3 linked regions of the Caenorhabditis elegans genome follow. The protein of the gene in region 1 purifies or fractionates together with the protein of each later gene. This does not show direct contact. Each region holds a gene or a part of one and is shown in the gene's direction. Other genes may lie near its edges.

Evidence for each region.
Region 2: the proteins of sma-10 (region 1) and sma-6 purify together in Caenorhabditis elegans (affinity purification with western blotting, with the first as the bait; one study listed by BioGRID). This does not show direct contact.
Region 3: the proteins of sma-10 (region 1) and daf-4 purify together in Caenorhabditis elegans (affinity purification with western blotting, with the first as the bait; one study listed by BioGRID). This does not show direct contact.

The regions. Positions count from the first base shown.
Region 1 is NC_003282.8:270,778-282,321, forward strand, and holds sma-10 (Leucine-rich repeats and immunoglobulin-like domains protein sma-10), read left to right. Parts: upstream 1-3,824; 5' UTR 3,825-3,848; coding exon 3,849-4,090; intron 4,091-4,338; coding exon 4,339-4,410; intron 4,411-4,763; coding exon 4,764-4,838; intron 4,839-4,883; coding exon 4,884-5,021; intron 5,022-5,065; coding exon 5,066-5,209; intron 5,210-5,267; coding exon 5,268-5,483; intron 5,484-5,607; coding exon 5,608-5,820; intron 5,821-5,872; coding exon 5,873-6,100; intron 6,101-6,147; coding exon 6,148-6,652; intron 6,653-7,064; coding exon 7,065-7,350; intron 7,351-7,400; coding exon of another isoform or gene 7,401-7,464; coding exon 7,465-7,761; intron 7,762-8,748; coding exon 8,749-8,881; intron 8,882-8,941; coding exon 8,942-9,038; 3' UTR 9,039-9,162; downstream 9,163-11,544. Other genes in the region: crmb-1 (Serine/threonine-protein kinase), read left to right, coding at 1-49, 100-1,322; srh-282 (Serpentine Receptor, class H), read right to left, coding at 1,538-1,735, 1,783-2,204, 2,300-2,486.
Region 2 is NC_003280.10:6,322,491-6,331,485, forward strand, and holds sma-6 (Serine/threonine-protein kinase receptor sma-6), read left to right. Parts: upstream 1-1,993; 5' UTR 1,994-1,998; coding exon 1,999-2,138; intron 2,139-2,185; coding exon 2,186-2,336; intron 2,337-2,554; coding exon 2,555-2,644; intron 2,645-2,689; coding exon 2,690-2,801; intron 2,802-2,845; coding exon 2,846-3,001; intron 3,002-3,043; coding exon 3,044-3,137; intron 3,138-3,226; coding exon 3,227-3,307; intron 3,308-3,352; coding exon 3,353-3,489; intron 3,490-3,536; coding exon 3,537-3,840; intron 3,841-3,916; coding exon 3,917-4,088; intron 4,089-4,131; coding exon 4,132-4,530; intron 4,531-4,575; coding exon 4,576-4,650; 3' UTR 4,651-4,865; downstream 4,866-8,995. Other genes in the region: C32D5.4 (uncharacterized protein), read right to left, coding at 58-589; set-4 (Histone-lysine N-methyltransferase Suv4-20), read right to left, coding at 7,710-7,910, 7,957-8,289, 8,341-8,509, 8,557-8,702, 8,749-8,766.
Region 3 is NC_003281.10:5,622,151-5,633,854, forward strand, and holds daf-4 (Cell surface receptor daf-4), read left to right. Parts: upstream 1-2,991; coding exon 2,992-3,132; intron 3,133-3,212; coding exon 3,213-3,344; intron 3,345-3,712; coding exon 3,713-3,835; intron 3,836-4,456; coding exon 4,457-4,564; intron 4,565-4,613; coding exon 4,614-4,722; intron 4,723-4,793; exon of another isoform or gene 4,794-6,056; intron 6,057-6,345; coding exon 6,346-6,408; intron 6,409-6,518; coding exon 6,519-6,664; intron 6,665-6,711; coding exon 6,712-6,819; intron 6,820-7,310; coding exon 7,311-7,696; coding exon of another isoform or gene 7,697-7,721; exon of another isoform or gene 7,722-7,948; intron 7,949-8,307; coding exon 8,308-9,008; intron 9,009-9,475; coding exon 9,476-9,693; 3' UTR 9,694-10,172; downstream 10,173-11,704. UniProt on the Caenorhabditis elegans protein: Involved in a TGF-beta pathway. May be a receptor for TGF-beta-like ligand daf-7. Controls the decision of whether or not larvae enter a developmentally arrested state, known as dauer, in response to environmental conditions.

The DNA.
Region 1 (11,544 bases):
CAGAAGAAAATACGTTGTGTCTATTCGATAGATGCAGAAGAAATAGAAGGTGCGGTGCTTTTCATAGATGTGCTCATCTTCCATGTTGTAAATTTGGAGGGAAGAAGTGCATGTTGGAATGCATCAGATCTAGCTGCCTTCCTAGATATGTAGAATGTCATCGAAGGCGGCGTTGTTCAAGAAAACAAAGATGTCACACAACAACACAACCACCAAGCCCCACGACAGAATCACTTCCAACTTCTACAACAACCTACGAAATGAATACAACGTCATTGGAAACTTCAACCACTGATATATCAACAATTACATCAACGGAAGAACCCATCAGCACAACGGTGAAGACACATGAACAATCGTCCACTTCCGGCATGGAGTTTTCCACGATGTCGACAACTTATGAACCAATAACAACGACTTTGGAAACTTCAACGACTGATATTTCAATAATTACATCAACAGAAGAACCAGACACCAGCACGACGACGGAGTCGAATGAACAATCGTCCACTACCGGCATGGAGTTTTCCACGATGTCGACAACTTATGAACCAATAACAACATCTTTGGAAACTTCAACCACTGATATGTTAACTAATACATCAACAGAAGAACCTGACATCAGCACGACAATAGAGCCAAATGCACAATCAACTACTTATGAAATGGAGTCTTCTACTGTATCGGTCACATATGAGCCAGAAACAACATCTTTAGAAACTTCAAGTACTAAAGTATCATCCACAACAGCAACGGGTGAACCTGCCAGTACGACGATGGAGGCGAATGAACATTCATCCACGTTTGAAACTGAGTCTTCTACTGTGCCAGCTACTAATGAACCTATAACAACGTCATTTATCCCTTCAACTACTGATCTATCAATTATTACTTCAACGGAAGAAGCAAAAATCAGCACGACAATGGAAACAGATGAACTATCAACCACAACGGAGTCAAGCTACTCCACAACTCAGTTTACAACCTTCAAAATCCCAACATCCTCATTTTCGACGCTTCCTATGGAAGGAACTTCTACAAAGGAGCAGACTACTCTGTCTACAGAAGAAACATCTTCAGCCACAACAGCGACCATTTTTGAAAAACTTTCTACAACTCTATTCTTTGAAGAAACACAAGTAACATCAACGTCTGACTTTACATCGTCTCCTAGAAGTATTGAAACAACACGTGTCATAGAGTTCGATACTTCAACGGAACTGCAAACGACTTCCAAAACCTCTACCACTACAGAAGATACAACAACAGTGGGGACGACAACTGAAATGGAGATGAGAAGATTCTGGAGACTATTCGGATGACCGGATATATTTTATTTCTTGATATGTTTCTGTTTTGAGTATTTGATTTCGGGTAAATGAATGGGTTACATTATATATTTTTTGAAACTATTTAACAAAACTAAATAAATTTTGAAAAACTATTCAAAGTTCTCTGTTCGCTCACTACAACTCATGTTCTATCATAATCATATACGTTTGTTTTCTTCAATTAAAAAATTCATTCCTTAAGAGCATCACTTGAAATTAAAGATCTGTTTAAAATATTGTCGGTACGGTTTTTGAAGATAAATCATCAAAACGGTAGATGAAACACCATGTAGGGAGATTATATTACGTGCTAAATTTCCACTGCCTTGGTCGGAAATGTTATATGCTCCCATTATAGCCAACCAAGCAGAAGGTAGAACTACGAATAGTAGTGGTATTAAAATCTTAAAAAAAAAGAAAAAAATGAAAAAAAAAAAATTGAAACACAGACCTGTAATTTTATGGATTTCACGAAATCCCGTTGTAGTTGTAAAGTTTTATTGGACACGATCATTTTTCTTACTGCCCAGTTCATATTCACTTGTAGCAATGTTCCGAACACTATCATTTCAATAATTATAATTATCGTAAAAACTCTTTGAGAGTACACTGGGATCCACGGAAAATCGAGAGCCATAACGAATATAGGATTTTCAGGCGAATCAAATTGAATAAGCTCAGGATGTACCATAAATAATTGTTGCCTTGGAAGATATTGGTCAGGCATAGCATAATAAGTTGGAAGATAAAATGCCACTCCAAAGGTGATGTTGAACACTTTGAACGGGTATCTGACATGCCGCCACCAAGTTTTCTCTGCGAAGAGCACGAAGAAGCGGTTCTCGAATAACTGAACTGTGGATATTGCACAAACTGAAAATAATTTGAAGAATCTGGTTTTTTGTGGTTTTTGATGGAGGTTTTACGGTTTTCGGTTACAAGGTAATTAAATGAAAATTTCAACCTACATGCTGCAATAGTCATTCCAAAATAAATTTGAGCTCCCGTCCCTATACCTATCATGTGTAAAAACCCTAAAGGAATTCCGGCCATTGTAGTAGAGAAAAGGTATGGTTGACCCACACAGGTCATAATCATATCATATGCCATAGACCACATCAGAAAATTTAGCAGATGAAGTTTTGTAGAACACATTGTCGGTGGAGTCTTTGCGATAATACAGTATACGCCAAATAGTTGAACTGGTAGTGATATCACAGCTATCGAGTACTGAATTGTTGAGTAAACGGGAATCGAGCCAAAAAATTTCAAGAACATGTCTGTTTTGAGATAGAAAAGAGAATGCATCAGAAAACTGAAGCCATTTTATGAAGAAATATTTGAAGGTGGTTATTATACGAAGCACATGATGTGTATAACCAATAGTTTCACATAAGTGAAAATTATGAGCGAATAATAAAAAAGAAAGAGGAAACTAACCCTACAACGCAGATTTATGGGGGTGTGATCAAGCTGGAAACAATCTTCGACCGTTTGCGAGTCGCGGTGTTGCTCATTGTGCCCGATTCCGCTGACAATCGTATGTCGAGTAGGCCAATTCTGCAAAAATCCTGGTGGACAGACACCTCAAAAATTAAGTGTGAATATGGGCTGAAAGACTAATTTTCATGGTATGTAGTTTGTCAAGGCGCAAGACTACTAATAAAGGCTACTATTATAAAGAATACTAGAAGCTGCACTTATAGAGGAAATATCTCGACATTTGGCTTCAGCTTCTTGCCCAAGTTTGGCCAGAAAAATATTAACTTGGAACAGAAGTTGGCTAAACTTGGGCAAAAGTTGGGCAAGACTCTGGCAAAACTTGGATTTATGCTGCGCCAAAGTTTAACCCAAGTTTGACCCAACTCTTGTCAAATTTTTGTCCACATTTAAAGCTAAAAAAGGAAAGTTCGGGCCAAGCTTGGGTTTAACTTTGGCGCAGCTTAAATCCAAGTTTAGCCAACGTCTTGCCCATCTTTTTCTCAAGTATATCCAACTTCTGACCCAAGTCAATATTTTTCAGGCCATACTCGAGCAAGCTCTGGAATCAAATGCCGAGTATTGTATACCTATGCAAGAAGTTTATCAAAGCTTAACTGATCAATAACCCATATTTAATCTATATTTTCATTTTTAATACGCCGAACTGTCTAAACTAAATTCTTATCAACAGTACTCTCTTTCTCTAAATCTCTATTACTAAAGAAAACTGCGCCTCTCCGCCGTTATCTGCTGAATGTCTCTGAGTCTCTCAGTTTGTTAAGTCTTATTTGAGATAGATTCGGTATTTGTCGTTCTTTAAAACAGTAAAAAGATTGCGAGACGATAGTTTTTGAGGTTCTTCTCTTCCGTTTTCTCTGCACTCTCGTCAGTTTTGTGGGTCACATGTGTGCTATTTTGCGATTATTAAGCATTTTTTATTTTAATAAAAACAATTTTTTGGACATTGGTTTTTTTCCGACCTTATTCATATTTTCCTTTTTAAGTTTTCAGGTTTTCTGTGACAAAAATGTGGACATGATTGTATATTCGCTATTACTACTAATTCTGTATGATTTTCTTCCAAAAGTCGTTACTTTTGATACTGTCTGCATTGGACTATGCCACTGTGTTGGCAATGTTGTCGACTGCTCTTCACTCGATTTATCGGAAATACCAACGACGATACCTAATAACACAAGAATTTTACTACTCTCTGATAATGAAATAGAATCGATTGATAAATCGCGACTAAAAGGATTTTATTTTTTGCAAACCTTGTAAGTTTTTTGAGGGATATCAGTGTTTTTGAATGAAATACTAAAGTAAAGTAAATTGCTAAAAAAACATTAATATGGGTGAAGAGCTAAAATAAAAATAATTTTTGAGTTTCCTATTTTTGAATTTGTTCTGAAATCTACAGTACCATTCAGTGAAAATAAAAAAGTTTTGGAAACTTTCAATTTTTTTAATAAATACAATAAATTGATATCCCAAAAATCGTTCTTTAAAAATAATAACTTTGCAGAGATATTTCGAACAACATTATTCGACACATCGATTTCGAATTTTTCTACAATTTGCCAAACCTTAAGATTTTGTAAGTTCCATTTTCAATACATTTTTTAACGAAAAAAAAAACTATAAATACAAACTCAAGTACAGTAAGACACCCTCAAATTCCTGTTCAACAGTTTGTGAATGAATAAATATACAGTAAGACAGCGTGTTTTTCAAAATTCCTAAGAGTTACTTCTTATCAGTGGAGTTGTAACCAACCACAAACTCGTGACTTTTATCGTTCCAATAAGTTTAGTCTTTGATTAAAAAAGGATTGCAAAAAAGTGTAATTAAGACAAACACGGGCTCGTTCTGAACGGGATCTTAAAATGTTAGTAGACTGCAAAAATAGTAGATGACCTCAGAATATCCTACAACGCAGAAACATTACAGAAACATTCGAAAAAATCGCTTAGCACGAATACCTCGTGGCTCACACGAGCTTGGTCACTTGGAAAAACTGGATTTGTAAGTTTGCAATAATCAGTTTGAAAAAAAGTAATCAGTTCTCAGACGGTCAAACCTAATATCTACAGTAACCTCAGAAGAGTTGAGTTACTTGGCTGCTGTTAGATCTGTTGATTTATCCAGAAACCTGATATCATACTTGCCCAAACCAACTACCTCCGCAAAAGTTAACATTGAAAAACTGTAATAATGGTCACAAGATGCAGTAAAATATTTTCAATTTACAGAGATCTCGCATCAAACTCAATCACAGACATTGGCACTGATCATTTTTCCAGTTTTAACACACTAGTTACTTTAAAACTGGCCAGAAATCATATCACAACATTAAATCAATTTTCTTTTTCAAGGCTAAGAAAGTTGGAGTCTTTGTAAGTACCTGGGAACGGTGATTACTACCTCATTTTTCTAGACAGTTTCACTTTCCAGAGATTTAACTCGAAATATGATACGAGAAGTAAGGTTTTTGGCGTTTAATCAATTACCATCACTTCAAAATGTAAGTTTGGCAAGAAACGACGTGTATCGTTTGGATGATGGGATGTTCTATGCTTGTGAAGGATTGAAACATCTAAATCTATCAACTAATAGAGTTCAAGCGGTTACGGAAGGTTGGATGTTTGGTTTAACGAGCTTGGAAGTTTTGTAAGTTTTAAGATGACGAATATGAATATTGACTTCTTTATTATTAATACAAATGTGTAATGACTTTATGAATATAAAAGTTGAAAAAATAATGCAAAAAAAGTTTATAAATCTTAAACTTCAGGGACCTGTCCTACAATCAAATTCAATCTTTCCACATCAGTTCGTGGAGCCATACTCCAAAATTGAAATGGCTTTCATTACATTCTAACCGGATTCAATCCCTACCTTCTGGATCATTCCGAGTTTTGAGACAACTAGAAGAGCTCATTCTCTCAGCAAACTCAATTGATAGTCTTCACAAATTTGCATTGGTGGGAATGAGCAGTTTACATAAGTAAGTTTGGGGATGTTATTAGATTATGAATAAACTATTATGAAATTTTCAGACTAGATCTATCTTCAAATACCCTGGCAGTTTGTGTTGAGGACGGAGCGGTTCTGTATAACACATCAATGCCTTTTCTTCGTTCATTAAGGTTTACGAATAACCAACTTCGAGTGATTCCAAAAAGAGCTTTTGAACGATTTCCCGCATTGGAAGAGTTAGATCTGACTGATAATCCGATAGCAACAATTCATCCGGAAGCATTTGAACCGTTGGAACTGAAAAGATTGTAAGTGGTCGGCTGAATACTCGTGTCATTTCTGAAAAGTGTTTTAGAGTAATGAACTCCTCTTCGATCCTTTGTGACTGTCAAATATCATGGCTCGCATCGTGGATTTACCGTTTGAAACTCGACAAGTCTTCCATTATTGCTAAATGTTCCTACCCACCTCCTCTTGCAGACTTGTATGTTGTAGCAATTGACACAGCAAACTTGACATGTCACAATGATTCTCCCCGAGCAAAAATTGTTAGACAGCCTGTAGAAGTAAGCACTTTGATTGGAGAAAAAGCTCGGTTTACATGCAATGTCTATGGAGCAAGTCCGTTGAGCATTGAATGGAGAGTTATGGAAAATGGTCAACCTAGAGTTTTGGTACAGGATTCTGCAACTTTCCTGAGCATAAATAGAACAGCTGTTGTGAATGGAACATTTGATGAAAGGGAACTTGCGGCCGCTGAGTTACTTTTGGACAATGTAGCTATGACCGATAATTCTGAATATCAATGTGTGGCAAGGAATCGATTCGGATCAGACTTTTCAACACATGTCAAGTTGCAAGTGAGTTTTTACACCTAAAATTTTGGCAATATTTCTCTCGAAAGTTTTGTTCGATTCAGCTCAAAGTTGATTCGATAAATATTTATGACTCGAAACCATTATATACTTGCTCACGTGGTATCAGAGTGTCTCATTTCGGTTTGATCTACGCAGATCTACAAAAATGCGGAAGTTGAGACGCAGAGTTCTCAACTGGCTTCGCATGGTTAAGAAGGTGCTGACGCACCATTATTTTGAGCAAAAAATTCCCGCATTTTTTGCTGATCAACTTTTGCTGATCAACTGTGAGCCTGGCACCACGTGCTTGTTAACATATTTTTATTATGCGTGTTTGTGAAAACAAGCAAAACAAAGGAAAGCATCACAAAAGTAATGACCTCGAACCTAAATTTGTGTTGTCTTTATTTCTCAGGTCTACCAAGCGCCAAAATTTACGTACACCCCAGAAGATATGCCACTTCTCGTTGGACAGACAGCAAAATTTTTATGTGCAGCCACAGGAACTCCAAGACCGGAAATCAAATGGGCATTCGAACAAATTCCGTTTCCAGCCGCAGAAGCCAGAAGGCTATATGTAACACCAAATGACGATCACATTTATATAATGAATGTGACAAAAGAAGATCAAGGAGCATACACTTGTCATGCAACTAATGTTGCCGGGCAAACACAAGCGAGCGCAAATTTGATTGTTTTTGGTAAGCCTTTCAGAGAACTTTCAAAATTAATCTATCGTTTTAACTTTCAGAATTAATCTACTGTTCTAATTCTCTAAGTTTTACTTGTTTGTTTTCTCAAACTCAAGTTTTCAGAAAACTTCTTCCACTACCCCGAAAGCCCTGATTTAAGCCCGATGCTGATTAAAAAAAGAGACGCATTAAAAATAGATTGCTCTTGTGATCTTATTTCCAGTCGACAGAGAATGGTGTGGAAACGGCAGCAACAAGTTATACTTTTCTTAAAGAAAGCAAAGTTCTCAGACAATGATCAAATTCTGACTCTAACCCAGACGACGTTCTCTGATTCTGGAGAATACTCGTGTGAATTATGGGTTGATGATACGATACTGATGAGAAAAATTACAATGGTGAAGGTGGTAAACGAAGATGGTAAGTGGGAACTCACTAATGGGGTTGTTCGAGTAGTATCGGAAAATTAAAAAGTGTAGAAATATTACTTCACAGATGTATTAAAATACATTTAAAAAAATTAAATACATTTAAAAAAAAATACATTTTGCAACATAACCTCATAACCCCCATAAAAGCAAACTCAAAAAGGCAAGACCAGCTTTGATCAAGGTTAGTCTCGGTTATGAAATTTTTTCTATTAAAGCAAAAAGTGTTGTTGTTTCCTCACAATTGTTGCTAAAAATATCATTTATTGATGAGGATATTACGAAGAGAAGTGAATACAAGCAGAGCACTGAGAAACCGTCCGGTGGTCAAGAATGACTCTCACTCACAATAACACTGTACACAGGGAGAGGGATAGACATTGAGCAAGTGGGAAGACACTATTCACCGGCAAACAGATCACAGAGATCAAACGATAGATAAAAATCTTTTTGTGGTACAGAACCCCACAACAGTTACATTACTAATCCTTTAACTGGCCAAAGCACATGCGCAACGACTTACTACTATTGAGCGCCCGCTTGGACCCATAAGTTTTTTTTATATGAGCATTCATAAAAACCTGGGAACATTGGTTTTTTGGTGCACAGACTCCGAATACACCAATCGTTTTTATCTTGGAAATATATAAAATTCCACCGTGAAGAGGTAGAATTATTTATGAGCTAAATTTGAGAGGTCCTATACAATATATTTTTTCTAAACTTCTACCAGTTTAAAGGAGGGCACATTTGTGCGAAATGGCTTTGCCACGCGCCATCCATTAATTTTTGGATCGCGTGGCGGGATCATTTTGAATAAATGCCTTTCCTTAAAGTCGTAGAATTGTAGAAAAAAAAATACTGTAGCAATCGTGGGCGCTGTAGTTTGTGTGATCAAAAACGGGAATGGACACATGGTCGACAATTTTAAGTATTTTCACAATTGATTATGCATAAAAAAGCTTTTAAAAAATTTTAGAATTTGTTTCTTCGGAAGCCACCTTAACTCAACGTGTACAACGCATCCGAGCAATGGCCTCAAAATTAGTAGATAATATCAAATCTACAGGGAATGGAATTTATCTCATGGCTTCTTGTAGTGCATTTGGACTGTAAGTTTCAAAGATTGTCTAAAATGTTTGTCCTCACTGAAAACCAGTTCATTTTTACAGAATGATTCTGGGAGTTATCACTTCAATTTGCATTTGCATTGCAAAATGTTCTTGCAATCAGAATCACGTCTTCAATGTACTACCAGTTCAAGTATAATCCTTTGTAATTATTGAATATTTTTAAAGCTTGCAAACTTATCTGTCATTTATTTATCTTCACCGGTAATTTTTTATATGTTTTGCGGGTATATTTTTCAATTCGAATGAAAGTAAATACTTATAATTGTTAAAGCTTGAACATAAAATTAAATCATAACAAAGATAACAACAACTCGAGTATTGCTAAATTTTTAGTTACAACATTTTTGTTACAGTTTTTAGTATGTTTTAGTTATTGAAATTCGCAGGAATAATTCACCATTTTCTTTTCTTTTCTCAATAGAGCGTATCTTCGATACTGTCCTTGACGCCAAAATCTTAAATCTAACAGCTTGTCCTTTTTGAATAGGTCATTGAAAAAAAAGGGACAGGTGCCATTTCTCTGTGTTCAATTCTTCTCAAATTCTCTCAATTCAATGAGACGAATTCTATTTGCTTTTCTTTTGATTTTTGAGGTTTTTTGTCCTGCTAACTTTCTGTTTACTTTTTCACACCTTATATTGTTCATTTTTTGAGTGCGAAGCTTCCGCGATGGGTCTCGACACGATTTCACAGCTTTTCTCAAATTGTTATGTCTGCGGCATTTAATTTCTAGTAATTGCCAAGTTTCCAGTAGAAAAATTCAAAAATCGAAAACTCAGTCAAAACTTCCAAAAAGCAGGCATAGATACGTAGCACATGACCAATTAAAATGCAAAATGAAAACAAAATACTAAAATCTCTGGTCTTAATTATGAAAATTAAAAAAAATATCAATTTACTATATATAAAGCGCGTGTCGTTCTGTCCCTATGTAGTTTGATCTTTGATCTTTGGTCTTTGAACTTTGTAGTTTGCAGTCTCATTCACACAAGAGGGGTCACATAGGCCCCCCCCCAAAAATTGGCGGGAATTCAAATTTCTGAGAAAATATTTTGGCGGGAATTCAAAATTTAATTTTTTGAACATATTTTGGCGGGAATTCAAAATTTAATTTTTCGAAAACATTTTGGCGGGAATTTAAAATTTTAATTTTTTGAAAATATTTTGGCGGGAATTCAAATTTTAATTTTTTGAAAATATTTTGGCGGGAATTCAAATTTTAATTTTTTGAAAATATTTTGGCGGGAATTCAAATTTTAATTTTTTGAAAATATTTTGGCGGGAATTTAAAGTTTTAATTTTTTGAAAATATTTTGCCGGGAATTCAAATTTTTATTTTTTGAAAATATTTTGGCGGGAATTTAAAATTTTAATTTTTTGAAAATATTTTGCCGGGAATTCAAATTTTTATTTTTTGAAAATATTTTGGCGGGAATTCAAATTTTAATTTTTTGAAAATATTTTGGCGGGAATTCAAATTTTAATTTTTTGAAAATATTTTGGCGGGAATTCAAAATTTAAATTTTCGAAAACATTTTGGCTGGAATTTAAAATTTCTGAGAAAAAGAACCTTCGTGTCGAGACCCTTCGTGGTGAGAGCTTTCGTGGAGAGACCCTTCTTGGTGAGACCCATCGTGGTGAGACCCTTCGTGGTGAGACCCATCGTGGTGAGACCCTTCGTGGTGAGACCCATCGTGGTGAGACCCTTCGTGGTGAGACCCATCGTGGTGAGACCCTTCGTGGTGAGACCCTTCGTGGTGAGACCCTTCGTGGTGAGACCCATCGGGGTGAGACCCATCGTGGTGAGACCCATCGAGGTGAGACCCATCGTGGTGAGACCTTTCGTGGTGAGACCCTTCGTGGTGAGACCCATCGTTGTGAGACCCTTCGTGGTGAGACCCATCGTGGTGAGACCTTTCGTGGTGAGACCCATCGTGGTGAGACCTTTCGTGGAGAGACCCATCGTGGTGAGACCCTTCGTGGTGAGACCCATCGTGGTGAGACCCATCGTGGTGAGACCTTTCGTGGTGAGACCTTTCGTGGTGAGACCCATCGTGGTGAGACGCATCGTGGTGAGACCCTTAGTGGTGAAACCCATCGGGAGTTAAAATTTTATTTTTTTGGAAACATTTTGGGGGGGGGGGGGAATTAAAATTTTAATATTTTGAAAATATTTTGGCGGGAATCCTAATGTTCAAAAAGTGAACATTTTCACCTTTTTTCATGAGATATTTTTGTAGGATTAATTGAATTGATGATATGTGTCAAACATGTCAAATTTTGCCAGTCGTTAGCACGCGCCTTGGCGCGTGCTAGCGGCTGGGATATATATAAGAGGGTGCAACGCTTACTTCCTGAAAAAAAAACTAAATTTATTATCAATTCATAAGATAGTGCGTAGATTAGTAACAAATGTAATTTCCCTCTTGCCACGTATCATTACAATGAATTGTTTATTATTTCATCTATGTGTGTGCTCTTCTCATTTCATTCAACAATCTATGCTCCTCCCCACAAGTCGTTTGTCTAGCTGTCTGCGTCTCTTATTTCGTAACATATTCTCTCTTTTGCTATTCTGTTCCTTTTGACCCGTTCGCACACTCTATTCGGCTCAGCTAGTAATATGTAAACTATTTGTAGTT
Region 2 (8,995 bases), on another chromosome or scaffold:
ACCAAAATTTGTAGTAGTCCAGAGTCCCAAGAACCAATTCATTCGACGTCAACTCACCAAGTTCTGCACTATTCAAAATGATACTTGATGACCAGATGCGTTGTTCTCCATTGTCACCAGTTGTGATGGGCAAAAGGCCAGCAAATGAGAGTCTGAGACCAGTCCGATCGTGCACAACAAATGGTGTATTGGTTGTGGACATGTGCGTCAAGAGACGTTTCATTTCATTCGGATTTTCTCGCATTTCGGCTTCTTCCGGCGGTGTAGTCATCACTTCGAAATCGTCTTCTTTGCATTTTAACATACTGCGTACGATGTTAATTTTTGATGAAAACGAAATAATCAAAAACTGATTTATTTTTTTCCAATCGTCAATATTTTTTCGTTTTGAAGTTCTTAGTTGGAATGTCACGGAATGAAATAGTGTGGCAGTAAAAATAATATTAGTTTCAAAACAATTCCCTTGCGTATTATTTATTGTCAGGAAAAAATATACATCATGAATCTTTTCCCATTCTTGTTGCCTTGGAGATTTCATTATTTTGTCGTCTTTTTTGGACTTCAATTTTATATTCTTGTTCCAGTACATTACATGTTTATATTCATAATGTGAGAACTTTTAAGCTTCATTGTGTTAAGCTGTAGTTTCAGAACTTTTTATACTTTCGCTTTTTGAAGCTTTCGGCAACCTTTGCCGGGACTGAACTTTCCAAAAACTCATAGAATCCTATAAAGTGTTTTTTTATTCTAAAACACTGGCACTGGTAATTAACTTAAGTATTCAAAACATTAGTTTCATTTTTTCTAAAATTTCTAGAAGCCCAGTATTGTGAATAAACTAAAGTGCCCTCAAAACGTATCATACTATTACAAAATTGATATTTCCGATAAGTGCTCAGAACTCTTTAAAAAATAATATTTGTCGAGTCCCCAGTAAACTATTAATATTTTATAAGTTGGGAACAACAAAGAAGGAAATGTAGAATCAGATTTTCATTGTCAAATAAATATCATTTTTGAATGACCAAAACTCAAAGCTTGTTTCAGATTTTTCAATATTTTCAGTTTTGGCAAATTTCCAAATTTTTAAATACTTCGGAATTCTTGCAAATTTTTGAGCTCTTCTTTGATCAAAAGTAGGATTATTGGTCGACTTTCAAAATTATGATAGGCGAAGCAATATTGTAACTTGTTATTTTGTTACTTTCCCTATTATGATTATTTTCCCCTGTGTTTGCCAAATTTTCCAAAAAAGTAAATTTTTAAGAAATTTCAAACGGTAAACCCCTACAACATTTGAATACAAAAAAATAAAACTCGTAGATTTTTTTTTGCCGACTTCTAGTTCTTCACTAATTTGTGACTATACATAAAAAATTTCAGTTTTTTTTGGTGTTACTATGGTATTGGGACATTTTTGCACTATAAGCATGGTTTCATGATATTTTCTTACTGACGATTTTAATTGTAGTACTATAAAAATTTGTCGTGCCCTTCCGAATCTTGTATTCATCCGGTGCCCAAAAATCGCTAAACTTCAAACGATAGAAACAATGAATAGATATTGAAAAAAAGAAACACCTGGTGCAACCCTCTTTTACATAAATCTAATCCATCTATTTTTCTCAGAAAAATGGCGCCACGCCATTTAATGACCCCGTCATTTTATGGGGTGGCGCGACAGAAAGGCGCCGCACTTCTACCTATTCTCCGGTCATACATATATCCATTTTGGCGCAACTTTTCCGTTCAGATCATTAGTATCATTAGGCGGACAAGTTGTCAAAAAGAACATTAAGTGAATGATGAGATAGTTAAGAGAGATAGTGTACTGATAGAAGAGGCCGTAGATTGAAATATTGTACGAAACGGAGAGGAAACTCGGCAAACAGTCTTTTCATCTCTACCTCTGTCTTTACTCGTTCTATTTTCATGTTTTTCGCAACTGACTTCATTAACAATATATTTTAATCAATTTATTTGCAAATTTCAGATTTAATGAACATCACCTTTATATTTATTCTCATTTTCGGATTTTTCAATACTCAAAAATGCTCAAAAGACTATGATCACTTTGACGATGAAGACTTAGCGTTGAGCATTCCAAAAAATGCAATAGGAGTTCCAAAGGAGTTCAGGTACATGAGTTTTTATATTTTATCAAAAATTCAGTTTTTCTTATCAGGCAACAAGTTTTAAAAGAGATGAAGCTTCGGAACAGACCCAATGATATTTTGAAAAATCGATGTTATTGCAATTATGATCAGTCGATATGTGGAAATAATATGACATGTGTGAAACAAGATGGAGCTGCTTGTTATCATGCCGTTGAAGAGGTAAAATTAACTTGTAGCTCTTGAAAGTTTCCGTTTTATTTTTTGGAATATTTTTACACCATGGAGGTTAGCAACATATGATCTAGGCGTTACCAGTTTTTTAATGAATGGATTTTTCTCATTTCTTGAAACTGACAAATTATAATAATTTTTTTTTTTTGAAAAATCGATGTTATTGCAATTATGATTATTTTCAAAATTATAAAAATAAATTTTAGGTTTATAACAAAGCTGAAAAACGAATGGAAACTCTTCATAAATGGGGATGTGCAACACTGGAAAGAGGAAGTGGAGCTTCACATTTGACGGTGTTTCATCGAGTTTTTTGAAATATTTCACCAGGTGTTTTTCAGTGTAATTCTTGGAGAGCAGCTCACCATTCTCCTAAAAGTATTGGTTGTTGCTATGAAGGTAACTATTGCAATAAGAATTTGATTCCGCCGGCATATGTTCATCATCACAAGGGTGAGTTTTTTTTTAATTTAAATTTTTTAACAGGGACTATTCAGAGAAAGCACTTCAAGAGAAAACTGACAATCCAGAAGACTATGATTCTCCACTGGAAAACATGACACGTGGAGGAAAAATGTTCATAATGGTATTTGCAACAGTCATGTCGGTTTTTGCAGTCATTGGATGTATTTATTTATGTATTACAAGAGCAGGTGAGACAGTTTTTAAATTACTAAATTGATATTTTGTTTCAGAAGAAAAATCTAAAGCCAGAGCCAGAGCCAAGACGGTGTCTCTGAAAACAGAATCAACATACATGGAGAGCAAATCAATGCTCGAAGACTCAGGGTTCGTTTTTATTTCCTAGAGTATTTGCGATATAGAGATATCATACCCATTATTTTGAAAGTGATGTTTTTAACAAATACAATTTTCAGAAGTGGTTCTGGGCAGGCTGCGTTGATCCAAAGGACAGTGAGACAAGATTTAACAATTATTAAAACAATTGGACAGGGAAGGTAAAATTAATTCTTATTTTAATCTTTGTTGCCTATATTTTTTAGATATGGAGAAGTTCGCAAAGCTCTGTATCGTGGAAGTTACGTGGCTGTAAAAACATTCTACACAACTGATGAAGATTCATGGAAAAATGAAAGAGATGTATATCAAACTAACATGATCAATCATGAAAATATCCTTCGTAAGCTATTTCAGTAAAATTACTTTGAATTTCAAGAATTGTTTCAGAATTCGTGGCGGCTGATATTTGGAGTGAGGAAGATTCAATGACAAAGATGCTTCTTATCACTGATTATCATGAACTGGGATCTTTATCAGATTATCTTTGCCGTGAAGAAACATTGACAACAGATGAAGCTCTTCGACTTATTCACAGTTGTATATGTGGTATTGAACATCTACATGCAGCTGTACACGGAACTGGAAGCTTTAGAAAACCTGAAATTGCACATCGAGATATTAAATCAAAGAATATTATAGTCAAACGACCAAATGTGTGTTGTATCGCTGATTTGGGTTTGGCACTACGATAGTGAGTTATTTCAAATGATGCATCTGAAAACCAAAGATTTAGTTGTTCTGAAATTTAGAAAGAATAATGTTTTCAGTCAAAACGACAAAATTCTCCCTGAAAAATTCAATGTTCAAGTTGGAACAAAACGATATATGGCTCCAGAACTGATATCAAACAAGTTGAATCCAAAAGATTTTTCTCAGTTCAAGATGGCAGATATCTACTCAATGGCACTTGTTATGTGGGAAGTTGCAATCAGGGTTGAGGTATGATTATTCAATGAGTTTAAAATAAAGGCCATGATTGTAGGTAAACACCTGTGAGGAAGTGTTAACTGTCGATGAGACCTCTCCTGATCACAGTGCATCAAGTGGTATCGGAGAGTCAGTTAGTTCATCTGGTAATATATCGAGAATGCATCTACAAAAAACAAATGTAGAAGGACATTCTACATCTCTGAAAGCAAAACAACATGTCCCACCATTCGATGGAATCGTGCACAATGATCCCAATTTTGACGAGATGAACGATGTAATTTGTGTACGTCGAATACGTCCACCACCGGATCTTGCCTGGAAAAACGTCCCAGCACTTAATGAATTGAGCAAGTTGATGGAAGACAGTTGGCATTCAATTCCACACTTCCGACATTCTGCTCTTAAATTGAAAAAAGAAATGGCTGAGTTGATCAAAAACCCCGACAGACAGGTAATTCAACACGTTAAGGAGCTATATCTAACTCTATGTTTTCAGAATCAATCGCAGCGTAAAGTTGAATTCCAACAGCAAGACAGTGGCCTTGTTGAGTCAGCCACCAATCAATCTTAACCCACTTTCTGATCTTACTTTCGTTGTACCAAAATTTTTGGCTTCTTTAAAATCAATTTTACTTTTTCAGTTTTGTTCATATTTCCACAACGGTCAAAATTTAAAGCGATCTCTCTAATAATTTCCCATCAATTTTTTAATTGTGCAACTCTTATGAACTTGTTCTCATCTCGATTTACTGCAATTTTTGTGAATAAACATTGTTCCAGACCTGTACGTTCGTGTTGTAATTATGCGACATTATTGTCCATCATTGCCTAATATTTCCTTGATAGATTGCCGATAAGACAAATTCTTAACTTGCGCTCCCTGTGGCAGAAGACGGAGCAAACAAAATTATCAGCTCAACCATGTTTAAATGTACGTTTATTATCTCTCTATCTGAATCTATCTGGATTGGTGTGCACTGCATTTGTGAGCAAATATAGGCATACTTGTACGTGGTTTGATAAGATAATACTGCACCGTTAGACAACTCTTTTGGGTGAAACAAAAGGGAGACAACTGCAAGTTGCATCAGTTGGAACAATGAAACATTAATTCGTTAAAACACAAAGCACATCTGATATCATTTTCACAATTTATTTCGTTTATCACATATTTTAGAAGATCATCCTTTTGTAAAGTTAAAAGTGGATTCATGATATTTTAATTTTGACAAATCTCGACTAGAAAATTTTTAAGGATATCAAATATTTCAAGAAATTTCTGCACTGCAAGTTACGGCAAAATGTCCATCTGTCTGGATTTATTTTGTAGGTGAATCACTTGACTGTAGAAATCGAATATGATGCATGCAACTAAGTCTTTATTTCACAAAGCTTTTTAAAGTATTTTTTCAATTGTAAATTTGATAAATTCAATTTTAACTTCGCACACAAACCAGAAAGATCGGCAAATCAGCGAGATTTATCACGGTGTTTGCAAATCGTTGAATAACCATCAGCGTTTTTATATTGAAATTGAAACTTGTTCTGATACAGTAATTTTCAAAGAACCATCCATGTACAAAGAACCATCCATTGAATTTTTAAGAAATTGTTTCATTATAGTTAATTCCAGTTTAATACGGAATGGAAACAGTTAAGGTTGATTTGTCGAAGCAGGAAATGTATTTTCTTATAGACCTGGCACAATTTTTTTACGGGAGATTTGAAAATTGTGCCAGAAACTTTACAATCTAAGTAGGTCCTTTAATTGTATTCGTTTTTTTTTGTATACTGTCTCTATGATTACATCAAATCCCAGACATCTTGACTCCTTGCGTAGATTTTTGTTGTATAATTCTAAGTCTTAAATTATCAAGGCTCTTGTATTCGATGAGAGTGCCTATCAAGAGAGGAATCAAGTTTTCAAAAAAAGAAGCAAACGTAAATTGGAACTGGGAAAGCTTAAAAAAATATTCTGACTTAAGAGTTTCCCATAAGCAAATTGAAATAATCAATCAAAGAAACATTGTGATTTCTAACAAATGTCTTACAGTATATGATATTTACCCGGAACTCATGATAGCAAAAACTACCGTCAACAAAAATCAGAAGTTGTTTCAAAAACAGTTAACCGATTTCTCAAGTCTTGAACTAGAAAATGTGCATAATATCACGTACTTTGTCATGATTTTATGGCACTCTTCCAGTTCAAGAACAAGCGGTTTTCGAGTAGAATATGAATACGAAGTAATTGTAGATAATAATACAAAGAGCACTGTTATCACCTACACCACAATTCTCTTTTATAGTGACACAAAAGTAGGTGGGCTTATGGAATGGTAGATAGTTGAGACACAGAAAAGATGGTTGCCTATCACCAAATGGGCGGTGTCATCGATAACAATGCAACGTCGGGGGGCGACGGAGCAGTCCACATATAGATCGATACTTTTAATTGGTGTACGAAGGTGCAGCAACGGATTGACAAAGGCTCGTTAAAAATAATATGATTAGTAACGATGAGAACTTTGTGAGGGTGAGGGTCAAAATTGAAGGCTAGATGATTTTTGAGATATTGGGCTCAGTGGGGGATTGAGCCTAATATCTAGTATCTAGATAAGTTCTTTAGCTGGATAATCTAAATGATTAAATTAAAATAATATTGAAATATTCATTTTAAAGTATTTTTTGTGTGGCATTCAATACTAATTTCCTGACAAACAGTAAATGATTAAAAGAAGACTACTGTGAACGTTTGTTTCTGCAAATCACTTCTCCAGAACTGAAACAAAACATTAAATACTGGTGTAAAAATCAGAAATACCGTAATCCTTCTATTAGTATTGGCCCCTGCTGCTTTGCTTTAAAGGGTATTATCTCACTTAATATTAAATATATCAATAAATATTACAATACAAACGATAGAAAAAGAACTAACAAATATTTTGTTAGTTGACAAGTTTAAAAAGAAACCTACGACAACTGAGATATAAGCTATCAAAAGTTTACCACTTCAGATCAAGTTAAACTTGTATAAAGATTGGAAGATGTTCACTTCGTTTTTTTAAACAACTTTTACTGGTGATTTCTATCCCCTTTTTACTTTTTTTCAAATCCCGCCATACTTAAATATCGCAATTGATGACCAATATTATAAAAATTGATACTTGCTGATATCAAAATTAGTCAGCTTGTGTCGAGATCCAATGAGACAATCGGTAACCGTACCTACATTTATTTGAGCTTTAAAATGTGTATTTTAATTAAAAAGTGTATCATCTTCTTATAAATAATTTATTGATTAGACATACTGTAATTTCAAAAATGAATCTGGAATTTTAAAGAATGAAAATAAGAAAACAAAATAGAGCACAGATAGAGATCGTTGTACACACACAAGAACCAAAAAGGAAAGGGGGAAGAAAGTTTCTTTGGGATCGCTATGGATTTCAGGTATCTAGTGTACTGAAAACTGCGGTACTGGTACTGGGGCTGTGCTATACTGAAAATAGAAATTTGATATCAGAATTTAAAGAAAAGAAAAGCCAATGCTTCTCTTCGTAAAAGATATCGTATTTACACTGGCCATGGAACATGAATTAATTTGTAAAAATGATTGAAAATTATGATTTAGGATCGTGAGCGGAGTTCATATTTGGTCTTCTTCTCCGAAATTATTGGTTCAGCATTCTCGTTTCCACGGAGATAACTGAAAGCTCCATTCATGTTCTTCTCGCAAGTGCAACATTCACAGTCTATGTTGTTTGGACCGAAGAATTCACTGCCGTAGAAGCAGGTGATTTCGTCACCGGGAACCATGTCACGAAGAACCTGCAAATTTACACATTTGAAATTAACATGATATCAATAAACATACTCGAATGTGAGCTGTACTTCCATGTGATACGAATTCACAGGTCGGCCGACAGTCATGATTGATATAGGCACCTGGACCTAGCCATAGAGTCGAACAGCGTTTTCTTGTGCTGTACATCACAGAGAAATCGCTTCCTTCTTGAGCCAGTATAGAATCCTCATCTTCGCTGGATAGCAGGCACACGACACCGCTGAGCCGCTCAATTTTATCGCCGCGGCTCCAAACCCCAGTTGAAACAAGTTTTGCACCTTGATGACCTTCTTGCGAATAGCGTTTGCATTCTTGGATGGTGTACCCAGAATCAAGTATGAACATATTGAGAAATCGAACAATCTGGAATAAACAGCAATTTTGTTAAAATTAGATTTCAGGATATGAACTAACGTGATCACGGAATTCAAATAGCTTGTTCGGAGGAAGTTTCGAGAGGAAATGTGAAACACTTCGGAGAGTCAAAAGTCCGTAAATTGCATTGGTCCAATCTCGTTGCTCTCTGAATGTTTTCATAACTGTTCGAGCCGTTCTATACTCGTCCTGATACAAATAGCGTCGCCTGAAATTTTAATAATGAACGAGATATAGAAAGGCCGATTATCTTACTTTTTGCTCATTTTATGGGTAGTAAAGTTGAGAACCGAGTCGACGACAAGCGTAGTAGCAAAATCATCAAAATAACATAGTTCTGTTGGAGTCATTGAGTGATCCGAGCGAGGAATGTCATTGAACGTCACAGAAATGTTGGCAATCTGTAAATCGATCGATAAAAAATTTAAAATAAACAGATTAACTTACTTGCTCGTGTAGTTGCATTCGTTCAGGCGTTGACTCATTTCTCCGAGCCATTTTCTGAAATTCAAATAACAGATTGTGAGAAAAAATTGAAAAATAAACAAAGAAAAACAAAGTTTTGCAGTTATCCGAGAGGATTACACGGGCCTACTGTAGTATTTCGTTGCGAGACTCAAGGAAACTTTATTTTGGTAGTCCCTTTAATTTATTTTGGAAAATGTCAAAGTTCATATCGATATTCGCGGTTGTC
Region 3 (11,704 bases), on another chromosome or scaffold:
GAGAAATGATACATTCTAGCTTCTATGCGGTTCCCTTTAACATTCCTTGATAACTCTCAATGTTCTTGGCAATTATGGAAATTCCAGAAAATTGTATGTTTAGTATCCATGTTCACTTTCCGCTAATTTCTGATCTACTGTTCAAGTTCTGACCACTTAAAACATCTCCCCCTGAGTGTCCTGCAAAAAAAGTTATATGTGACTTTTTCAACATTTTTTCAACCCTCCCTGCAAATCGTTTGACCTATTTGGAGTGCGTCGTGGGCGGGCTGGTAATGACCATCATTTTCCCAAATAAATTATTTTCGGAAGTGTTCTTCACGGTTTGTGTTTTGTAGTCAAAGTTCTAGTGAAGTTGTTTGCAACTTCGGAGTACTTTGCTGTCGAGGTATTTCCGTAAGAGTTAGGAAAAATAATGTCAATTGACAAATTGTAGGAAAGTTTGTGCTGAACATATTTGAGCAATGATTGTGCTATTTTTTTTTGCCAATTCTGAGTTATATCACTTCATAGTTAATATTTTTTGATATTTATAATCGCAAAATTCATATAAAATCTTAAACTTTTATTCCCACTGACCATGAATAATATTAATTCACTGAATAACTGATGATAAGTACCCAATCTTTTTTGTTTTGTCTCTCTTTCTCTCACTACTATCTCTCTTTTCTCTTTTTCAAATGAGAAGAACTAAAGCAAACAAGTTGTGTCCTTTTTTTCACTAATGTTTAACCTCGAACCGACAGCGAAACCACACTTTTTTGCTGCAATTTAACGTTTTCTCACACGATTGGACCTTTTCATGGAGGTCTTTTATATTGATTTTTTTGAAGATTTAAAACTGTTTTTAAAATTTTTATACTTTCGACCCATCATCAACATCAAGTTTATTTTCTTCTTATAGGTAGCTAACCCCATAATTTTTGCGACATTTCCTGTTTTGAAAATGAAAAAAAAAGTTGCGAAAAATAAGTTAAAATGCTACAAGATTTATGTTACAATTTTAAATGTTCTCATGGAAGAAAATAATAAAAAATGATTATTTGGAAAAATAAATACAGGTTGTTCACGAGGAGTACTTGAACTAATGTTTTGAATTTGATCTAGTTATACGGAAAAATTTGAAAAAGTAAACATAAGTTTAGTTCCCGCCGAATTAGGTAGTATGTATTTTTTAATAATTGAAATTCGAATAATTTATTTTTTTTCTTGACAATTATCTCTTTTCATATAATTTTCAAAACCGTCGTGTACTCATCGTGAGCAATATTGCTTGTTCTTCGACCTCTTACTTTGAACTCGATGGTTCCTTCAGGTATTCCGAGGCCTTCAGGTTCCTACTATTTTGCTCTTTTCCTTCTTCTTCTTCTTCATCTAACATAAGAGAGCTTTGGTCTTACACGCCTGCTGCTACCCTCTCCTCCTTCTTCTGCAACAACAACAAACCCACCGTGGTCACATGTGAATTTCGCCGAGTTTCACGCTCTTTTTCCCCCTTTTCTTTTTCGGCTTTTGCTGCAAAAATAGAACGAGTGAATAATACCCAGAAAAAAGCGAGTGCTTTGTTGTTGTCAAGGTAAACACAAAAAATATATGAAAAATGTTCAAAAAATATTCGTTTTGACATTCTCTTCTCCCACTTAAGTCGCTTGATTCAATGTGACGGGGAGGCTTGAGGCAGGAGGAAAAGTATAAATTCACCTGAAATAACGAATGGTGACATGTTTTTGAATAAGAAGAAGGAAAGGATGACGTTGAGTGGTACTTTCTATTTTCGTACGTTTTACAGAAAACTTATTGAAACTTAGCGCCCGACATCTAGCCCAAACTTGGACGAACACCTAAGCCTAAGCCCAAGCCTAAATCTCATTTTAGACTTTTAGCCGAGCCCACGCCTACTCCAATTCCGTTCTGCTGAAAAAAACATACGTTTTCCTGGTACCACGCACGAAATATAATCCTGAGAAACTTTTTTTGGTTACATTACATGTGTATAGCACATTATTTAATTTTTCCTCGAATTGCTAGTGTATTTTGGGAACCGAAATATGGAAAGTCCAGTTAGTCCGAACTTCGCCCATTTCCTATAAGGTGCAGGTGTTCATCGATACTATATTTTTCTCAAAGTTCCCGTTCTATAGACCCCGGAAGATCCCGCCTTCATTCTGTTTGGGCCCCGCCCAACTTTAGCCCCCTCCGATGAGAAAAAGAGCACAAGAGGACAGCGAGCCCCTCTTGTAAGGTTCTTGTAGGTCAGATTGTCACGTCATTTGATTTTTTGTTGTTGTTTATTAGAGAACATTGAATGAAAACCTTTTTTTATTTGAAACAAAAAGTAGAGAGTAGAGTTTGTAAAAGTGATAAGAGTGTACCAATCTTTGCTGTTTCCTCGTTCTTTTTCTCTTTTCTCTCTTCATTTCTGATGTGTGCTTCTCACTTCATTTTTTTTGCAAACTTTTTGTGCTTCCTTAACACTTTTCACATCTTTCGTTTGATGGAGATTGTGCAATTTATTCCTATTTTTACGGAATTTTTGAAAAATTTGGTTGACATTTTTTAGTTGAAAGTTTTGAACTCTCATGGTGCATCGAAGTAAAATTCAAACATTTTATTTTAAAAAAATGAAAAGTTTTTTGTTAAAAAAATTGGAAATTTCGAATGTCGAAATTCGAAATTTTTTTATCCGAAATTTCGATTGCTTTTATTTGAAATTAAGAAATTTAATTTTCATCAAAACTAAATTTTTAAAATTTTAGCTGGAAATTTTAGCAAAGCTGGCAATTTTATTTAATTTTATCGAAATTTTCGAATTTTCGAATTTTTGAAATTTTATTTATTTTTTCTCAAGTTGAATTTGTTGACCTATTTTTTTTATTTAAATAAGTTTGCATCTATTTTTCTCAATAAAACATTTGATCTTAATTATTTATTTATTTTACTCCTCAACTTTAAAAAAAACGTTACAATAATTCAACTACCTTCAATTTTCAGATGAATCAGAAAGGGACAGTACGTCTCAAGGCACTTGTGCTCATTTGCCTTCCACTCTTTTTAATTGCCACACCGGTTCCTGTTGCAGTCACGGAAGACGATCGTCAGGACCGAATCGAATCGGAAGCCGCCGAGAAAGAGGTGAGCATTTTTTGAGAAAATGTGTTTTTGTCGTAAACTTCTTTATTTTATTCTATCTCCTTGGTTTAACCATCTTTCAGTGGGCTAACACCCTAGTCAGCAAAGTAGCACAGTCAAATGGAACTGGCACTATTAAGGTCTCGGCACCAGCGAAGCCCACGTTAAGGAGAATGGACAATGAGGAGGATGAAGTGATTTCGATTGAATGTGTAGTAAGTTTTTGGATCAATTTGATGGAATTTAGGCTCATTAGATAGTGTTGACGTTTTGGGGATCAGAAATCAGTGACTCTCCCGTTTGTTTAAAAATTACTGGATCAAATACACTTTAATTCCAGTGAGCCCTGTTCCCCTTGTAGAGGTCGCAGAGCCAATCCACCCACATTCCACTGATCCTTGTTTCAATTAACTATAGTTACTTTAAAGTACCAAGATATTCTAAAAGGGATAAGTTCAAACCCGCAAGCTACAATAACTACAACTCCTTTTGTTTTTCAAGTGTTATCACTATTCCATAATTATAGGCTCTCTTCCCCAAAATTAAAGCAGTAGTAAAAACGTTAAACTTTAAAATTTTGCAGTACTACGACGAGATGGAATGCGAAAAGAGTGGCGATTGTGAAATCACAAAGAAGACGTGTTACAGTGAAGCTCATCTGAAAGCCGTCGGATGCTTGGCCGTATTTGGGCTGCCCACGCAAGAGGTTAGTGTGGAAGAGGTTTTTGGCGGCCACCCCCAGACCGAACTGTGTCACATGACGGGGGCCCTTTATATATATTGTTTCATTTGTTATTCATGAGTGACATCTTCTTCCTCTTCATCCGCGGAAGTATTTGTATCTTTTGCATTTTTTTTTCCATTCTGGCTTATGACTTTGTCAGCTGGAACAAATTGGGGTGACATGACTCGTGATTTTTGATAGTTTTGTAGGATGGAATTTGAATATCAAAATTAAAATCAGAATTGCATTAGTTTTATCGAAAACAAATACATATGAGCAAGGTTTTGGCCTTTTTGAAGACGACTTTGAAAATTTACTGAGCGACATAGGATTTAAACGTGGAACTTGATTCAAATTGAAAAAAATACTGCGGAAAAAGTTAATGATCAAGGCTTTATTATTCCTTTGCTACAAAGCTCTTCAAACCAAACTTAAAAGTTGTTGAGTTTATCAATCCAATTTTGATCGAATCCATTAAAAATGTGCAAACCAACTAATCCGGATTTAGCTGCCCATGTTTCAAAAGATGATTAATTGAGTAAAGGGGATAATAATAGATATATGCATCCATATTATAAACATCAAAAATCTTAAAATTTCCAGATAAACTCTACAGAACCATACCTGAAAGTTGATAAACCGCAATACAAAAGTCTGGGATGTATGCCGTATCAGCACGCGGACTCGATGAACTGCGAGAACGAAAGCTCCGTAAGTTATATTTCAGCATTCGGAGCACCTCATAAAACTGGAATTTCAGTGTCGCCAAGGACGATCATTTCGCGGCGGAATTGGAATGTGCTGCTGTTCGACCAACAATTGCAACATGCCGGATCTCATCGAGATGGTCAACCCGTCATTGAAGAAGGGTCAGTGAGCACATTATATTAAGAGAGCACTATATCCCATGTTTAACCCCATTCTTAGTATACTAGAGCAACACGCAATGATTCTGTTTTTGTGAATATACATATATATCACCTCCTTCTTTTTACCTTTTTTACCTTCTTTCTGTCCCACTTTCTGTTTAAATAACCTTCTTTCGGGTGAGCGTTGGGGCTAGAGGCTAGGGAGAAATTGTTGGCATTGAAATGAGAGGTTTTCTGTGAAACATTTAGCTTTAAGTTAGCAGAATTTTCACGAAAGTTGAACAACCACGCGTGTCTGTGCCTAGTTATTTTTTCGAAATACGGTTCATCATACGGAGGTTGCCTCCCATCAACTAAAATACGACAGAGTTGGAGCACATTCGAGAAAATTCCCAGGAAGTTAGACAAAAATGTGGCAAACTAACGACGAGTGTAGGGAGATAGTGGACGGAAGTTGGCAAACGTTGCGAGCAAATGAGAAGCACCAAATTGCAATATGTCCTAATGTAGAAGCGTTCAGGCGAAAGTTCGAGAGAGTTTGGCGATGTTTGGTTTGAGCTCGGCCACAGTAATAGGGAAAGTGACGCGAAGTGTGATCAATCTGAGTCAAGCTTTCGACAAGTGAAAGACGAGAGTAGGAGTTGAGGAGCGGGCCAGATGGAAGACGGAAGCTGCGACGAATCTTCAACTAATTTATGAGCGTTGAAAAAAAAAGTTGGAGAGAGGTTATGGGGTTATTCAAGTAGTGTCGGAAAATTAAAAAGTGTAGAAAAATTACGTCACAACCTTATTCAAGTAGATAAAAACATGTATTTAAATACATTTGTGACGTCACAAATGTATTTAAATGCATTTTGCTACATTACTTGAATAACCCCATTAGAAAATTTTGAATGGTCTCTACGGATCTCAGCAAACGTTCGTCCAAACTGCGACAACCTTATGACGCGTTTATGATAAAATTTGAAGTTGAGACAATGAGAGAGAAGGATAACCGAGCAGAGGTTGAGAAGAAAGCTCGAGAGAGCTTGGCAAACATTGAAAGATAGTTCAGCTAGCCCTGAGACAATATTTTGCGCCAAAGCTGAACAAATTTCCGGTGGAAGTCAATCGGAAATTAAGAAAAATATGGAGAACTTCCCATTACTTTAGCTATACTCCTCCCAACCTTTCCCCGTGTACCCTCAACCTGAAAGAATCCACCTCTGTAAAAGCCTGCAGTTGTCATAAACCTTGTTCCCAATTTCTCTTCCCTTTCCTAATTTTCTCCGAAAAAAATGCACGTGGACCTCTCCAGATTGTCTCCTAATTTTCTCTTACCCCTCACACATACACACACACACCATTCATGCAATTTTATGTTTGTTCTTGTGGCTTTGCAAGTAAACCACTTTTTTATTTCAACTTTCTTTTGTTCTTTCTGTTTCTAGAGGCGATTCGCAACGACACTCTGCTGTTATTTGGCTCCTCCCCTCCAGTGAGCGGAGTGTCGTTGCAAAGTGAAACAAACGCTTTTTCGTAATAATTTGCACCCGTGGAAGATGCCTGTACACACACACACACATACAAATAAAAACATGTACACATTTTGAAATCACCTATTTAGAGCCGATAAAATTTCAGATTCGGATAATTCTGCACTTCTGTGGGCTTCAACTCCATCCAACATGGATTTGGAATCTCTAGGTACTGTCTGCATCTACGTCTCGGGGCTAGCTGGGTACTAACTAGGTGCTAAACACCCTCTACCACACATCCCCCACTCTTGTCAGTTTCTCAATGGAGCGAATTTGCAGACAAGTTCCCATTCTACTGGATCATCATAATCGCACTGTCAGTGATCCTTTGTATTGCACTCTTGATCTTGGCATACGTTGGTTGGAAATTTCAGCAGAATAAGAAGGAGGAGATAAAAAAGCAGCAGAAAATTAAATTTGACATGGCGAGTTTTGTCTTTTTTGAAATCGAATCAATTTTCGAAATTTTCAGGAAAAAACTGACGCACTGGAAGCTGGAAATGTGCCTCTCGTGGAGCCGGAAGAGGAAATGATTGAAATGGTGGAGACACCAAAGGAGCTGCCGATCACTGATTTTCAGGTATGTAGGTACCGCAAGAGTCGTGCTTGATATTTTATATTGAAACATGCTCTCTAAATCTAGAATACAACATTTGAATTTTGAAAAAAAAACCATATTGGTGAAACTTTTCAGCTTTACATGAATTTTTTAAAAATTATCAAAAACAATTGTTAACATAACTTAAAAACAACGAACAATTCTGAAAACATTTGAATTTATGGTTTTTTAACAGTGTCGGGGAACGTTTTCATTTGGCATTGGAGCGCATTTGCACTTTGATTTCAAAATTCACATATTTCGCGTCTTCATAATAGTTCGTCTTTTTGATATTTTGCTCGGAAGTTCGACCTCACGGTGTAAACTTTTGATGTCCACTACTTTGTGAACTCTGAGCTTTTCCTTACTTTTTCTTTATCTTTGAGAAAAAATGTTGAAAACAACAGAAGGCTCTTTTCATGAGCTGATTGACGTCACACTTACACTCAATGACATTTGTTCGTTTATTGCAGTTAATCTCAAAGGGACGTTTTGGAAAAGTTTTCAAGGCGCAATACACCCCAGACAGTGGTGAGAAACGATTGGTTGCGGTGAAGAAATTGAACGAATTCCAAAAAGCGAGCTTTTTGGCGGAGAAAAGAATCTTTGATGAGCTTAACGAGTACCCGAAGTGGTATAAAAGTATCGTCGAATTTGTGTGCGCCGAGAAAATTGGTGATGAGTATTGGATTGTGACCGAATTTCATGAGCGACTTAGTCTCTATGAGTTACTCAAGAATAATGTAATTAGTATTACATCTGCCAATCGAATTATTATGTCAATGATCGATGGGCTTCAATTCTTGCATGACGACAGGCCGTACTTCTTTGGACACCCAAAGAAGCCAATTATTCACAGGTTAGTGGAAAATGAAAATAATTAGAAAATTTTTAATGGATCTGACTTGTGATCGCCCTCCAACTAGTTTTAATGCTCAGAACTTTACTCTAGGTTGGTCCTAGAAAAAATCGGAAGAAGTTGCTAAGTTGCGCTTGAGCAGCCGACATTTTCAGGATCAATTAATAGTAGCGTGGACCTACAAGTTGTCGGCTGCAATTTCCAGTAAATATTTTTTGAAATACACACGATAGAGTCCAAAATGATAGGGTAAAATATTGAAAAAAAAAAACCAATTTTTAGGCGCATGACAATTTTCAGTTGAAGTTTCGAAAAGTTAGGGTTTAGAAAAAAAATAAAAATTCAAACAATTTTGTACATTGGAACACCTAAAGTATCTAGAGTTAATTAGAACATAATCAGAATATAAATTTCGCGGGAAAATTGTGTACAAAGTGTTATTATGATATTCGGTTTACTATCGGAGAGATTCTAACCAATGCTCCCAGTAACACTACGTTACCTTTTAAGAGCAGGTAGCGAGTTTCAACGACGCACGACGCTGGTTAGTGTATGCTCCAAACTGTTTCTAATGTCTGTACTTATTCAATTCAATAACCAATTTTTTGCAGAGATATCAAGTCGAAGAACATTCTTGTGAAAAGCGACATGACCACATGCATCGCGGACTTTGGCCTCGCCCGAATCTACAGCTATGACATTGAGCAAAGCGATTTGCTGGGTCAAGTGGGAACGAAACGCTACATGTCACCAGAGATGCTCGAAGGAGCAACCGAATTCACGCCAACTGCTTTCAAAGCGATGGACGTTTATTCGATGGGACTCGTCATGTGGGAAGTCATATCCCGTACCAAGTTGCACCAAACCGACGAGCCACCAAACTACCAAATGCCGTTTCAAGTCATCGGATTTGATCCCACAATTGGTCTCATGAGAAATTATGTGGTGAGCAAGAAGGAACGACCACAATGGAGAGATGAGATTATTAAACATGAATATATGAGTCTGCTAAAAAAGGTTACGGAAGAGATGTGGGATCCCGAAGCGTGTGCACGGATTACAGCTGGATGTGCGTTCGCGAGGGTATGGAATCATATTATGAGCTCACCGGACAGTTCGGAGGGGTATCACAGTGGAAGTAGTATGAAGAATCGGGGTGTTGATGATGTTGAACAAAGTGAGAAGCCGGAGGGTATCGAAGAAATGCAACATTATCATGCGTCGTCACCCAGCAAGAGACAACATCCTAGTCCGAATCCGTTTTTTGATTCGTGTCCACCACCTCCGCCGATTCCTGTGATCCTTGAAAATGGTGAGTGTACAGTGAATCGAATAAATAGTTGACATGACCCGTGAGATGTCGGCTGCTTGTGAAAAGCAGTTTCTAAATTTTAGGTGACTTCCCAGGAGATGTCGGATGCTCAATGCAGCATAGCTTTAAACCTTGAGCAGCCGACATCTCACTGACTAGTTATACGTTTGTGTAGGTAAATGTAGGATGCTGGTAAATGACCGACCGACATCTTATGGGATACGAATGGCTATGCTAAAAAACATCTCACGGCTAATTAATTGGTTTTGTGGTAACAGTTTTCTGAAATGATTGGCTAGTCCCTAGCAGCCGATGTTTTGTGAGTTCACTGATGTTTTAAGAGTGCCCGCTGCGTGAACCAACGAGCAACCGACGTTTTGCGGGTTCCAAAACCTTATTTGCCTGGCGTAACTAGTAAAGTGTCGCCTGCTATTTTTCCTTTTTTATAAACAAAAATTATTTTTCAGGAGGAATCCTCCAACCAGACAACGCGGAGCCAGAGCCCGAAGAGCTGCCGGATCTCCCGATAGTCGAGAAAATCTACGATATTGCGACGAACATGCTATTCTCAAGAGAAGAGCTTGACCTTATGAATGCTCAACGGCAAGTTGAATACGAAGCTGGGGCAGACACTCGAGCGTCGACACCAACGCCTTCAGGGACGTTTGGAACGTTTACAACATAACTATTCATTCAAATCTAACATTATTTTATATTATGATTATACTCCCATCCTCTCCTATTCTAGTCTATATGTAGCGGTGGACACCTCACGGGCCCCTCGCCGCTGGCCCACCACCTTGTCTCTACTTACGCGTCCCCTAATGATCTCAATTTGAGCACAACCGGTGTATATATCAACTTACAGACGTTCAATATAAGAACCGCTAAAAGTTCTATGTCTTCGTCGTCTAAAACTCTTCCAAAATCTCTGATCTCTTGCATTGTCTCTCACTCAACCAAGTTGCCCACTCTCATCCAACTAACTCAAAAACTTACCTCAGCCCATGGGGCATCCCCATATTCTCTCATTCATTCACTATATTCATTGATCTGTGATAACTTTGTATTGGCAGTTCACATCACACAAGAATCTTTTTTTGTATATCAGTTGATTATTTATTCTTCATTTTTTACACTTAAAATTAAATAATGTTTCTTGCTATTCACGAAAAATTGACATTTTTCTTTTTTCAGATTCATCCGGAAATACCCATTTTTAGACAGCTGATATGCCTCATCACCTGCCACTAGTTAGAATGTTTCCTTCACTTCTTATTTTGTTATTGACTATCAACTTTCCGTCTATTTCAACATAAAACATTTCCTTGTACGGCAGTAGCCAACCGACGCCTATTTTTGTTCCTAGCCCTTCTTTATGTTAGCTTTTTAATCCAAAAAGCTTTCCACTCACACAATCTTTACTGGGCCCGCAGAATGTCGGCTGCTTCCAGTTCTTGACAGCAGCAGCCGACACCCGACGGATCACATGCTAAAAGTCAAAAGTTCACGGTTTTTGAAATTTCTCTTCTCCTCCTTCTTCAACAGCAAAAAATAACATGAGGGAACCGATCTATTCTTAGTGAGTAAACGCAATTTGGCTCCTTCTCTCTATTCGTCTTGTACATCAATCATATTTGGCGTGTCTTGTCCCTCTCCTTCCACTTTTCAGAGAGACACTTCTAAGAAGAATTCGATGTTTTGTGTGTGTCTGTGTGTCAAATTGAGAAGCGTGCGAACGAATTCGATTGAGGCTCCAGTCAGCACAAGCAAAAAAATAAAGCTCAGTCTTGTCTCGAAATTCGAACTCACCGTGCTTTCTCTCTCTCTTTTTGTTTCGTGGATTGTCGCTTTAGACCACCAGGAAATGGTGGAGGACATCTCAGTTTTCAAGATGGGCTATCTGAGCTCAACAACAAGAGACAAACCCAATTTCTTTTTTGTTATTGAGTTGTTTGAAAAATAAGTTGTATTTCTTTCAAAATAAAGCAGCCGACGTCTTACGGCAATTCTGAACGAATCCGGCTGCTCGTACAGATCTGTCGCGATCAAAATGGGCAACAACTTCTTGGATGCGCGAACCTTTTATGATGTCGGCTGCTCTTTTTTGTTATCACTGTGAGTGGCCGACAGCTCTTAAGGACTTAACATTTTTCCCCCATTTTTACTTCCAATTGACATTTTCGTCATAATTTTCGCTATATATATAGAGTCATCTTGAATATTCCCCTTCAATTTTCTCATCAAATTTTTCATTGTTGGCTCGCCGTTTTTAATGGAATTTCCAATTCATTTTTCTCGTTCATTCTGTTTCCATCAATTTTCGCGTCATAACTCGAGATGTGTGGGAAGATTCCTTTGAGTTAACTTAAAATAAAACTAGATTTTATAAAATCAATATTCGAAGGAGTCATCAGTTGATTTTCAGGAGTGGTTGGCTTCTTTCGGGTTCGTTAAATCACCACAAAATATCAATTTTTATGGACCCAAAAAGTGTCAGCCGCGTTAGGGAACAGATACTTTACCAAATGGAGCCCGTGAGATGCCCGGTTATTCTGTGAACGTGAACCTGTAAAGTATGGTCTGCGTCTTCCAGGGGGTTCATCGAGCAGACGACACCTCACGAGGCAGTGCTCCGACCCAAACACGGATTGTTGATCGCTTATTGTGTCCACTAGCAGCTGATATTTTACTAG